3 linked regions of the Canis lupus familiaris genome follow. The protein of the gene in region 3 binds, or shares a complex with, the protein of the main gene of each other region. Links are inferred from orthologs where the notes say so. Each region holds a gene or a part of one and is shown on either strand. Other genes may lie near its edges. The genes, in order: CRIPT, SHISA6 and DLG4.

Region 1 (4,141 bases), on a different chromosome or scaffold from region 3:
TTTCCCCAGTGGCCTTCACATGCATGCAGGACAGTTTAAGGAGAGAAGAGGCAAAAGCAGAGAGAGCACAGTTTGAAGAGAAAGGAGCTGGGAGGGGATCACATTAGTTTAACTCAAGAGTGATGGGGACCTCAGGTAGGTTATTTAAGGGGTAAATGAGAGGCTAGGGAAAATATGAGCTATTGAATGGAAGTAACAATAGCAGGACAGGCAAGTGTTTGGATGCAGGTTGACAAAGGGATACCAGAACGAATGAGCGATGAATAAGGCTTTATGAATGGGTGACTGGGAGGACTGCCATGCCATTAAATGATGGAAGAGAAGTTACAGATTTATAAAGTAGGATGACAAATTCAGTCTTGGAAGTACTATACTACTATGTAACAACCAGATGAAGGGTCCCAGTATTGTCTGGAGAAATTTCTTCTATTGGTCTTGGTATAGAGAGAAGTCGGCTGGAGATGTGGATTAGACATTCACTGGCATGGATAAACTACTTGAAGCCAGATATTTCCAAAACAAAGAGTCAAAAGAAGGGCAGATGTCGATCACTGGGAAATATCTACTTTAAGGGAGAGGGAGAATAAGAAAACTTGGAGATTATAATGGTAAAGAAGAAGAGAAGTAAATTCAAAGAGAATCTAGATCAAGTTTCAAAGTCACAGAGAAGCAGAAAGGGACTGAAAGAAAGGTCTTTGAATTAAGAGTCTATTTTTATTTGGGGAATAAGATGGTACAGAAGGTAGAAAGGTACTAGAGCAAAGAAATAATACAGACTTTCAGAAGTGCAGAGAAGTAAAAAGCAAATGACCTTTATGACATATATCACGTCCCAGAGCCAAACTATGTGTATTTTAACATCACATCCGATCTTGGCTTCTCAAAATTTTTATGTGCCTTAGGAAATTACCTCTCAGAATTTGCCCAGTATCCTCAATTTTCCTGGGAAAAAAGCACTTATGGTGTAAAGAACATCACACAAAACAAGTTAAGCCCGTCAGAATGCCAGGCCTCTAAAGTTAAAATGTACCGAATTAACACAAATTACAAAGAAGGCTAATTTACATGTTTAGGAACTACCCTACATAAGAGAAAAGACATGGAGAAGGTGCATAACCTAAATATATGTAAGACATAGTTACTCAAACAAGCAAAACCAAAAAACCTCATAAGTATTGGATGGAGTAGAGTTAAAAGGACGTCAATGTCAAACAGCTTAATGTACTTTTTGGAGCAATGAAAATATTCTAAAATTGATTGTGGTGATGGTCGCACAACCCTGTGAATACGCTAAAAATAACAGAATGGCACATTTTAAATGGGTGACTTCTACCTATGCCAATTGGTAGAACTGCAATAATTTTTTAAAAGCTTCATGTGAGATGATGATGTAAAGCATAGAAAAATGAAAATATCAGTCCCACTCTACTCCTCATAAAATGGAGCAGAGTTTAATGCTGAGTGCCACATACTGGGAGTTATGATAGGAATAACCAGTTTTTGAGTATACACTAAGGCACTTTTATATCAGGCTTTACCTGCATTATCTAATTCTCACAAAACCCCATAAATTATGTATTATTCTCATTTTTCAGAGGAGAAAACTGGAGCCAAGAAATATTAGGTAATTCACCATGGTTATTCCTTTACATAATGTAAAACCTGTGATTCAAACTCATGGGTGCCTGTGTTTAAAGGTTTATCTACTGGGGGGGAGGGGAGAATATAAACAGAATTGATCAAGTTAATGTTAATCCAGATAAGAGGACTTGAAATCTTGTTAAGAAAAGTCTAGCCTGAGGAAAAAGAGACTTAGGGATATGAGAGCCGTTTTAAAACATATAGACAGTCTGTGACATCAAAGAAATCCTAAGATACTTTCCAGAAACATCAAGGGTTTGCATTAGAATCACTGCCTGGCAACTGTAGGGATGAAGGATCTTTTCTTTTCTTCTTTCTTTCTTTCTTTCTTTCTTTCTTCTTTTTTTCTTTTCTTTTCAGATTTTATTTATTTATTCATGAGAGACACACAGAGAGAGCCGTAGAGACACAGGCAGAGGGAGAAGCAGACTCCATGCGGGGAGCCCGATGTGGGACCCCAGGTCACGCCCCGGGCTGAAGGTGACACTAAACCGCTGGGCCACCCGGGCTGCCCAAGAAGGAACTTTCTAAAAGCCAGTGGCATCTACGCAGACTGTTTTGAAGGTAGTGAGGCTTTCTGAACCCTGCCTCAAGACCTCAGATATTCATGCAAAGAACATTTAAGTCAACATTTAAGGATGCTAACTTCGGGTTGCTCGTTAAAATACAGGATGCCCTGTTCAATTTAAATTTCAAATAAACAATGAATGGTGTTTTAGTATTGTCATGTCCTAAAGGTAAGCCCAAAGCACTTTCAGTACTAAGAAGCTGCGAGCAAAGACAAGTCTCAAATATCGCATGGGATATACTTCTAAAAAAAGTATTCATTTTTAAAATGTCTGCTATATCTGGAAACTCTGGGTGTTGTAAAAATGACTTTTAAGATCCATTCCAATGCTGAGGGTCTGTGAGGCTAAGGAGCCAGTCAAGAGCTGTATGGGATGAAATCCCGGGGTGGGGCTGGGGGAGGCAAAGGAAATAGACAAATCAGTACAAAACTGAGAACACTCCGAATGCAAAACCAATGGGAACGGTGAAAGGGATAAAGGACAAAGGCTGGAATCAGAGACTTGTGGCCGAAAGAAAAGACAAAGAAAAGGCGAAGTCCCCGGAGAACTCCTGCTAGCTTCTCCTGGCCTCCTCCCAAAGAGTCAGCCCCTTAACTCACATTTTTCGCACACCATCCTTCCCCGACGGTTCCCCCGGCCGCAGAAACAGCAGCAGCTCGAGAATGTCAACACAACAGCCGGGGCAGACGTCCCCTTCCGGGTTACGAAAATCCGCTTCCGGCCGCCCCGCCCTCCGCCCCGCCCACCGCCCCGCCCACCCCACACCTGAGAGGCCGTGGGAGGCGGGGCTTCTCCCATTGCCCGCCCCTCCGCTCCTGCAATTGGCTGTGCCGCCTTGGGTCTCCGCCCCACAGGCTTGCGCCTGCGCGTTGGCCAGGGCGGCGAGTCGTACCTGATGGTGGGAGGTGGTAGCTCGCGCTCCTCTTCCGCTGGCGGGAGAGTTAGGTAAGCCCAGCGGCGCCCGCCCGGCACGCGAGCCTCCCGGGGTGCCAGCGGCCCCCACCCACTGCCCACGTGGCCGCGAGCGTCTGTGCCCCCGGCCCGCTGGCGCCCGCCGCCCGCCCGAGGGCCACCCTTCCGGCGTGACCCGGGGGCAGCCCCGATGGACCCGGCCCTCGGATCCGTCCCTGTGTGTGGCGCCCTCCGTTCGTCTCGGTCTCCGCGCCCGTGCCCTTTTGCTTATGCCTCTCAGCGCGGCCCCGCCCCCGTTCACACTGGCGCGGGGTGAGGCTCGGGCAGAGTCCCGAGCGGCCGAGGTTGGCGGGGGGCTGCAGGGGCAGGTGCCGCGGGTTGCGCGGGTAAGCTCCGCAGCCTCCGGGGCGGTGGGCGCGGGCCGGGTCCGACCGCGGGGGCGGGGGCGGGGGCGCGGGCGCTGGCCGCCGGGGTGTGCTCGCCAGGGCCCACCCCCGCGGCTGCTTTCGCGGGGGGGCAGACCTTTGGCCCACCCTCTTCTCCTCGTTCGTTCGTTCATTCATTCAGTAAGCAGTTGGGTGCTGCTCCGTGTATTAGAGCCTCATCTGCCCATATCACTTGGGATTCTGAGAGCGGCCCAGAAACATACCCGAAGGGATAGTCCGCTCAGACGGTGTATTCCGGATCCTGCGCCCCTGCCCCTTGGTCAGCGGATCTGCCAGAGAGGTTTCCTTCCTCCCTTCTTGCTCTTCATCCCCTTCTCGGCCCCTGGAGTGTAGATTTATGTCAAAGAGGCGAGGGTTTGACGTGGCTATAGTGCTTGGGAGCTTGGGACCTTGGACATGTCTCCCAACGTGCCTTAGCCTGTTTCCTTATCAGTAGAATATTTGCCTTGGAAAATTATAATGTGAACTAGATCAGAGCTGTAAAGATAAGGCCTTGACTTGCCCTTTTGTTTTTCTGGAATATTCAACCACAGTGTAACATGGGTAACATGTGGACTGTTACTTTGATATTAG
Region 2 (3,641 bases), about 3.5 Mb from region 3:
CAAAACCAAACTGGGGGACCTGAGCGGTAGCCCCTTGGCAGGGTGAGGAAGCAGCAGGTTGTAGAATTTAGGAGCAGGAGCATGGCTCCAAAGGTTTACAAAACCACGCTTCCTTCTCATAACCTCCTCCTGCCAGATTGCAACTTTAACATCTGGAACTGCAGAGGAAAACTATTTTTGGTACCTGCTTGAAACTTGGTATAACATAAGACAGCCATGTAAATTACGAGCTATCAGTCATCCTTCTGTCTTTGCTCTGAAGGAGTGAAAACATCATTAAATTTTAGTGAGAAAGAAACTCAAAGATAAAATCTGCAGCTCGCTTGGCAGAGAGATTGACCACTCTCCTGGGAGATCATGCTCTGCGTCAGCATTGAGGTGTTGAGCATCATAATTAGGACAGAACTGGACTATTCTCATGGCCCCCCCCTCTAGGACTAGGCTCCTAGTGGAAATTTGTGATGAAAGCGATAGTTTAATAAGCCATTTCCGGTTGCGGGATCTGGGATAAACCAGAACTGGAAGACATTGTAGATCAGTTAAGAAGCAGCAGGTTACCAGCAATGATGTGGACGATAGGAAAAGACAGAAGGTTCAGATATGAAACGTGGTGGAGTAGTGACTCGCTGAATATGGCTGATGAGAGTCAACTGTGAATAAAATGCCAAGCTATGATCAATGAGAAGAGTGGGGGTTCTTTGGGACGCAATCTGAAGAGGTAGGAAGGCAGCTAGGGCATAGAGGAGAGGAAGCTGTCAACGGTGAATTTGGATCTGGACCTCTAAAGCTGGAGGGGACCATAGGGTAGTTAAGAAAAATGACTCAGCAGGCAGCTAGAAATGCAGACATGCAGTCTGGAGTCAGGTTACGGCTGAAGATGTAAGTTATGCTTTGGAAGCAGGAACAGATGCCCTGGGAGTTGGGGGGGGGCCCATTTTGTGTGAGAAGGCTGAAAGAGAAAAGCAGAAGGCAGAAGCCGAGAGCCTGGGGGATGCCCATGGTGATGACGCAGCAGCAGGAAGAGGAGCCAGAAGAGGCAAGCGAGGAGTGCTCTGCTTGCTCCTGAACATTCTGGAAGGATAAGTAGCAGCTGGTTTTCTCCAGAAGTGGCCAACACAAGCACAGCCTCCTGAGGACAGAAGGAAGAGCCATTCTTCCCTGTTCCTCTCCCTGTCTTCTTTTTCCACCTGTTACAAGGAGCTGAGGGTAGATAGATCTAGTCCCTGACCTTGAGCAACTCACAGCCTGGTAGAAGCAGAGTTTTCTCTGTATCTGTTTCTTGGAGGCTACACTTTCCCCCAGGAGCTAGCAGAGTGACTATTAAAGGGGAATGTGTCCTGTGTCAACTTGATTAACCAAAGAGCATTAATTGGATCCTTATTAAGGGCCAAACACTATGGAGGCATCAGACCAATTAGAAAGCAAGTTTTTGCTGTCAAGGATATGGCCATCTTTGGCGATCAACAAGACTGGCTCAAGTCAAATGATTAGAGATCACATAGGCACTCAACTGGGTGGGATTGCCTGGAAAAGCAATAGGGGCTTGAAGACCAGATATCACCACGGGCTGAGAAGATGTGACATTGCCATAGCGAAGAGTCTTGAGCGAAGAGAGAATTTGGACAGAAGATGAGTAAGGAAGGGCATGGCACTAGGAGAGAGCGCATGAACAAGAAGACAGGGGTAGTCATGGTGGAGGCAGAAGACAAAAAAGAGCTGGCCTTGGCTCAGCAGCATGAGCTGAAGAACAGTGGGGAGGGCGAAGTGGGGGTTGGTAAGAGCATCCAGAAATGTTGCGTTTGGATGCAGGTGACCTGAGCTGTGCCCTCAGTGGGAATATGATACCAACAGGGAGAGGGGAGCATCATCCTCCCCAGCATCACCAAAAGTGAAGAAACGAGAGCTAGGGGACTAGTGGCTGTTACCCAGCTCCGATAGCAGTGCTCCCAGCTTCCTGCCCACTCCACTTCCTGGCATCTGTCCCGATCCATGCCAGGGAGGCTCTTCTGTACAGCATGTTCTGATCTCTCGGGGATGTAGAGCGTCCCTCACCCCCTCACATATGTACCAAGCTGGCATGAACACCAGCTTATTGGCTGGGCTCCCCTAGCTTCATCTCCAGTATTTGGGGGGACCAGTGAAGGCAGGAAGGATAGAGAAGCTGGGAGTTCCCTGTAGCAAGGCTGCCCTTGGACCGAGTCTAGCGGTGCTCCTCGTTGTCTCCTACTTCACAGAATCCCTGACTTCCAGAGTTTGGCATTCTCTTTGCCAAGAGGCAGGGGAGCCACAGCCTGGCCCTTCTTGGGGGTCCCAAACCAAAGAGGAGGGAGGGACAATGAGAGAGCCACCTGCCTGCCTCATATTGGGGAATGGTACCACTGTTTCTCCAGCAGTACCTGTTGACATCTTGCTGACACACAGCAAGTCAATCAAGCAGCAAGGCCTGCTTGCTTCCTTCCTTCTCAACCACTCCCTTGCCCATACCTGCATCTCCTCTCTTGCCCCAACCACAGAGCCCAGCTCAGCTCATTCACCTCATTATTCATCCACCTCATCACCTGCACATCTTCTCTTCCACTACTCCCCCCCGTCCTCCCCCCCCTCCAGTCTGGCATTGAATACACTCCCTTCTCTCTCTTCAGATTTTGGAATCTCAGGGTTCTAGCTCAAGGGAAGGAGGGAGAAAAAGGAAATTATGTGCTAAGCATTTTGTCTACATTCTTTCCTCCAGTGGCTCAGAGATAGCCAAGGGGCCTTCAGGGGGAGGGCTTGGAGGAGGAAGAAATGGCTCTGGAGCTCACAGTGACTTGTGGGGCTCAGGGCTTGGGGAGGTCTAAGGCAGAAGCGGTGATGTGAGGGATAGAATGACATCATGGGCCATGTGGGATGGAGTCTCAGTGGAGCTGGGGTCCTAGACCCAGGTCTATGGGTCTGTGGACAAGACCAGTCACTCTACCTATTTCAAATTCAGATTTTTCTGAACCTGAGAGCTAGGAGGTAAAAGATGGAACTTTCACACCAAAGTAGACAATTTTATGACCCCCCTCAGCTCTATCAGGCATACGTCTTCATCAGATACAGAGGAGTTTGCCATTAAAGGAAGGGCAACTCCCCAGCATGGCTAAAACAGCACCTGCCACTAGGCTTGTAGACAACTGGAACTGGGTATGAGGGAAACTGAGTCACCAGCACCACCTGTGTTCTAGCACAGTGGCGGGGGGGCCAGGAAAGCAGGATGAGGAGAGATAGAATCTGGACCTTCCTTGGCCCTGCCTGCCCTTTGTCCTGGCTAATGCCATGCACCCCTCCCTTCTTTTGCAGAGAAGCCACGGATGAACAACATCCTGACATCGGCCACGGAGCCCTATGACCTCTCTTTCTCCCGCTCCTTCCAGAACTTGGCCCACCTACCCCCATCCTATGAGTCAGCAGTGAAGACCCACCCCAGCAAATATTCATCCCTGAAGAGGCTAAGTAAGTGGGGGTTTCTCGGGCTTGGGCTTTGCCTCTGGGCCCTCTGTGGCATCATCCTATGTTTTTCTCTCCTGCTCTGCACCTGAGGGGACAGACGTGGAGTGCTGAGAATAAAGAATGAGGTATAGCTTGGAAGAAGAGGATGGGAAGCCCCTGTGTTTGTTCTT
Region 3 (4,406 bases):
CCACCTACCATTAGGGCATGTGAGACTGGGTGAATTCTGTGGCCCGGAGGGATATCATATAGTTTGGTATTTTGTTGGGAAAGGTGTTATGTACTGGGAACAGAGCCATGTTTTTTGTTTTGAAAGATGCAAATATTGGCACAGTCAACATCACACAGGCCCCCCCTTAACTGACAAACCTAAACCCTAGGTCACATGAGGAAGGCGCTTAATCAGCAATGTTGGAATAGCCTGCGATGCTGGCAGTGACCAGGGCTCCCTCACCTGGGTGTTACAGAGGCCCACACCACCCAGCTCGCTGGGTACTTGCAGACCAAAGGCCCCCAGCTCCTTGAGGCCTTGCAGTGTGGTCTCCTCCACCTTCTCCAACGTGTCATTCTTGGCAGGATCGTTCACTTCCTGGAGAAGGCACAGGATGTCGCATCCAGGTTCCTTTCTGGCTGCTGAACACCTCTGCCATCCCATCAGGGACCAAAGCCCTCTGTTCCCCCACCCCAGTCCTTCCTCACCTCAAAGAAACGGGACACAGGCCCCACCAGTTCTTTGAGAAACTGGGTCTGCTCCTCACTGAGTACTGTGGGGGAGAAGGACAGGCTGGTCAGGTCACCGGGGAAGTGGAGAGGCCCTGCCCTGCCCCGCCCCGACGACTACTTACCAGATGGGTAAGGGAACACCTGATCGGTGGTGAGCTGACCCTTGAACATCCCCGCAGCAAAGGACTTGGATTCCTGCTCAGGGAGAAGGGGGTTTCAGCGAGCTGTCTGCTGCAGTGGGTGAGCCCCTGGCCTAGGTCCTCCCGGTATGGAGGCCACGTACCGCCTTGGCCTGCTTCTCTCTGGTCGGAGCCTCAGAGGAGTGGGAATCTGACTTCTCCAGAACCGCCTGGGGAAAGGGACAGTTAGCGAGGCCCGGTAAGGGACTCCCGAGGAGCTGGAGACCACGGGAAGCGCTGGGTGCGGGCGGAGGCGGACGCAGCGACCTTTCCCCTACTTCCATCGTCAGGGCACCCTGGCCTGCCCTTTCCCCTACTTTCGGCGCTACCGCGGGCGCCAGGTGTCCGGGACGGAGAGGGAGACCCCTGCCGGCGGCGGGGAAGGGGGAGCCGAGGCGGACTCCGCCTCCCGCTCTGCGCGCCCCAGGCCGCCGTCACTCACCTGAGCGGCCCCACTGGCATAGGGTCGGCAGGCCGGACCGGGCAGGGGCTGCCCCAGGAGCGCGCTGGGCCGCGAGCTGTGGGGAGCGGGGGCTCAGTCCGGGTCCCCGGTCCCGCTGCCACCCCGGCCCTGCCCTCCTGTCCGACTCGCACCTTCCGACCCCCAGCCTCCGCAGCTGCCGCCCCACGCTCGGGGCCATCCGTGCCGCCTGCATCTCCCAACCACTCCGGTCGCCGCGGTCCTGAGCGCAGATCTAGCGCCGTCCACCCGTCTGCCAAAGACTGGCTGCCCTGGTCCGGTCTTGACTCATCGTCCACAATGCACCGGGGGGGCTGGGCTTCCGGCCGCCAGCGCATGCTGGGAGATGTAGTTCCGGGGCGGGGCCTCCCCCACCCCGCCCCTGCATTCTGGTTAACGTAGGGCTATCTCCAGACGTTTCCGTCTCTCCCAAACGCCTTCGTCCCACCCGGCCCAGCTCGAGTGTAGCCCTCGGAAGGGGCGATGGGATAGGCTGGGGTGGAAGGAGGAGCAGCTCAGGCTTTTGCAGCCGGAGGGATGGAGGGTGGGCCAACAGGAGGACTTCCCCGGTGGAGTTGGAAGGGAGAGGTGGGAGAAAAAAAATGTAAGACGGCGGAAGCAGGGGCAGATGACTCTATGGAGTCCCTTGTGAAACCCATCTCCATCAACACGAGAGGGAGGGACATGGTGGCGTGGGGCGGCCCAGGTATATTCTCCTGAGACCTGAGGTGTCACTAACTTTAGAAACACCTGAATTCTCACCGTAGGGCCCTCCCCTCCCTTCCCCTCTGCAAATTCACCGCCTCCCCATTGGGGCGCTGGAGTCTCTGCCCTTGTTTCCTCCTGAGACTGTGTGACATCCTGGACTCTTCCCAGGGGGAGTGGAACTGTAGGGATTCTTCTGTCGCCCACTCTCACCACACACACCTAGCTCTGGGTCAAGGAGTCCCAGGTCATGTATAGGTCATGTATACCCCTGCCCTGCTGACACACCCAGTGGGGAGAGGCCTGGGCTGGGGCTGCAGGAGCCTCCTTGGGGACACCCCTCCACCCCCACCCCCGTCCCCAGTGCCCAGTCCCTCTGGAAAGTGCAGCAAACTCACCCCTGGCTTTGGGAAGAGAGACCATTGTGCCAGGCGACCCAGGGGGTTAGGACAGGACTGCCCACTTCGGTGGCTAAAGGCTAAAGGCTGGAACCTGGTGGGGAGGCAGCTCAGCTCCAACCCTGGGGATTAGGGAGATTAAAATCAGAGAAGAGAGATGTCCGAGAGACCCAGAGGTGAAACTGGAGAGTCCCATGGAGGAAAGGCCTGGGGGCGGAGCCGAGTGGGGCTGGGACTTGAGGACCCTCCTGCTGATCCTTCCCCACCCCACTTAAGCCCAGGGAGAGGGGACAGGCTAGGGGAGGTGAGTGAGCCGCGCCTTGGTCCATGGGTCTCTTCCCCATCCCATTCCTCCCTCGCTTGCATTTCACCAGCTCCCCGGTCAGCCCTCTGGCTCCTGGCCCCCCCACTGTTGCGATGGGCGCCCCCTCTCTTGGCTGTCCTGCACAGTGACCTCTTCCAGGCCCTGCTGGGTGAGTAGCCCTGATTCTCTGGGGACGCTGGGGTGCGAAGGGCTGGCCTGGGCCTGCCAGGGCAGTGAACACACTTGGGGGACTGTCCGGTTGGCAGCCAGGAGGCCCTAAGGTGCCAGCAGCAGTCAGGGCAGGGGTGGGGGCAGGGGAGCCCCCCCAGGTGGGGTGGGGGAGGGTAACTCAGCTGTATTCTGGTGACAGACATCCTGGACTATTATGAGGCTTCCATCTCAGAGAGCCAGGTAAGGGGGTGAGGTGGGGCGCCTCCCCAGAGGGGCAGACAGGGCAGGGGCCGAGCTGCCGCCCCACCCTTGGGGGCCTTGAAGACAGACTTCTGAGCCCGGGGTGCAGAGAATCCCAGACTCCACGGTCCTGTTGGTCCCTTTCCCCTTCTGCTTCCCCGCCCCCCTCCTCCCTTGGCCCCAATTTCGGGCATAAGGAGTCCAGCACAGAATTACTTCTCATCCTTCCTCCTGTGCAGCCTGAGGGAGAGCTGCCCCCCCACCGGACTCCCCCCTGCCTGCCCCCCCAGACCCCCCCTCCCGCCAGCCAGCACTGCAACTAGCATGGGTGCTGCCAGCCCCACAGCGGGTGCTTCCTCTCCTGAGACCCAGGAGGCCTCCTGATCTCTGGCGCTGGTGCCTGGCCAGGCCTCCATCTTTGCCTTGGGGCCTGTCTGCCTCCGCTCTGCTCTCCTCTCCCATTATCCGGGTTCCTGCCAGCACTGAAGCAGTTAACTCTGCCAAGGCACCCCCCCATCCTCGCTCCTCGCTCCCTCCCTCCCTCCCCCTGCTTCCTCTCTCCTCCTCTCTCCCCTTCCCTCCTCGGCTCCACGGCTCCCTCGGCCGCTGCCGCCTCCAACCCCCCCACCCCACTCCCCCGCCGCGGCCCTAGCCCCTGGCCGGCAGGCAAGACCCCCCCCCTACCCCGGGGCTCCCTGAAATCCAGTTCCCCTCCCCCACCCAGCTCATGCCCCAGCCCCCGAACTCCGGGGCTGCCAGCCCCCGGTGCCCCCGCCCCTCCTGAGAATCGGGGTGTGCTCCCCAGGCCCCCTCCCCTCCACTGGGGACTCCCTTCTAGGGCCCCCTTCCCCTCCCTCCCACGCACCCCTCCCCTTCCCTTCTCCAACCCCCTCTTTCCCCTCTCACCCCTCCCCCCATCCTGGCCCCCCCTGCAAAAGTGGGGTGCGGAGGGGGGAGGGGTGAGAACCCACAGAGGGGAGGAACGAAACTCCGATGAAGTCAGAGCCCCTTACCCGCCGCCGCGGCCAGCCCCCCCAACATGGACTGTCTCTGTATAGTGACAACCAAGGTAAGCACGATAGGGGGGCTCTCAACTGGGGGGAGGGTATGAGTTTGTGGGGAGGGGTTAGGCAGGCCTGATCTGGGGCTGGGGGCTGGGAGTGTACTGGGGGGTCATGATTTACTTTGGGGGTTCACATTTGAGATCATGCTAGGTTTGGCCACAGGTGCCCCCTGGAGTGATCTCTTTGTACCTGTAGAGAAATGGAAAATTTGGGCTGTTTTGTGGTTTGGGGGGGCTGATGGGTTTTGGGGTTCACCAATGATGTTTGAGGGAGACTTATTTAAGGAGAAGCCTGGCTCACATGGGAGTCCTGCTCTTGTGCATTAGAAGGTGGACTGTGTGAGGGGGGGTTC

The links.
Region 1: the proteins of DLG4 (region 3) and CRIPT are in contact, whole or in part, in a crystal structure (PDB 5HED), measured with the Rattus norvegicus proteins. The link is inferred for Canis lupus familiaris from reciprocal best matches to the Homo sapiens genes DLG4 and CRIPT. Residues at the interface, in NP_062567.1 of Rattus norvegicus: Gly322, Leu323, Gly324, Phe325, Asn326, Ile327, Val328, Gly329, Gly330, Glu331, Asp332, Glu334, Ser339, His372, Glu373, Ala376, Leu379, Lys380, Arg399, Phe400; in NP_063972.1 of Rattus norvegicus: Lys94, Asn95, Tyr96, Lys97, Gln98, Ser100, Val101.
Region 2: DLG4 (region 3) and SHISA6 share a complex: the UniProt entries of both Homo sapiens proteins name them as parts of the postsynaptic hippocampal AMPA-type glutamate receptor (AMPAR) complex. The link is inferred for Canis lupus familiaris from reciprocal best matches to the Homo sapiens genes DLG4 and SHISA6.

What each region holds. Positions count from the first base shown.
Region 1 is NC_049231.1:49,891,222-49,895,362, reverse strand, and holds the start of CRIPT (cysteine-rich PDZ-binding protein), read right to left. Parts: upstream 2,936-4,141; 5' UTR 2,826-2,935; coding exon 2,810-2,825; intron 1-2,809. UniProt on the Homo sapiens protein: As a component of the minor spliceosome, involved in the splicing of U12-type introns in pre-mRNAs. Involved in the cytoskeletal anchoring of DLG4 in excitatory synapses.
Region 2 is NC_049226.1:35,907,700-35,911,340, forward strand, and holds part of SHISA6 (protein shisa-6), read left to right. Parts: intron 1-3,321; coding exon 3,322-3,474; intron 3,475-3,641. UniProt on the Homo sapiens protein: Involved in maintenance of high-frequency synaptic transmission at hippocampal CA3-CA1 synapses.
Region 3 is NC_049226.1:32,393,042-32,397,447, reverse strand, and holds the start of DLG4 (disks large homolog 4), read left to right. Parts: upstream 1-1,583; 5' UTR 1,584-1,709; coding exon 1,710-1,878; intron 1,879-2,553; exon of another isoform or gene 2,554-2,649; coding exon 2,650-2,748; intron 2,749-2,949; coding exon 2,950-2,990; intron 2,991-3,872; exon of another isoform or gene 3,873-4,029; coding exon of another isoform or gene 4,030-4,059; intron 4,060-4,406. Other genes in the region: ACADVL (very long-chain specific acyl-CoA dehydrogenase, mitochondrial), read right to left, coding at 265-399, 510-574, 656-728, 817-882, 1,155-1,230, 1,307-1,368. UniProt on the Homo sapiens protein: Postsynaptic scaffolding protein that plays a critical role in synaptogenesis and synaptic plasticity by providing a platform for the postsynaptic clustering of crucial synaptic proteins.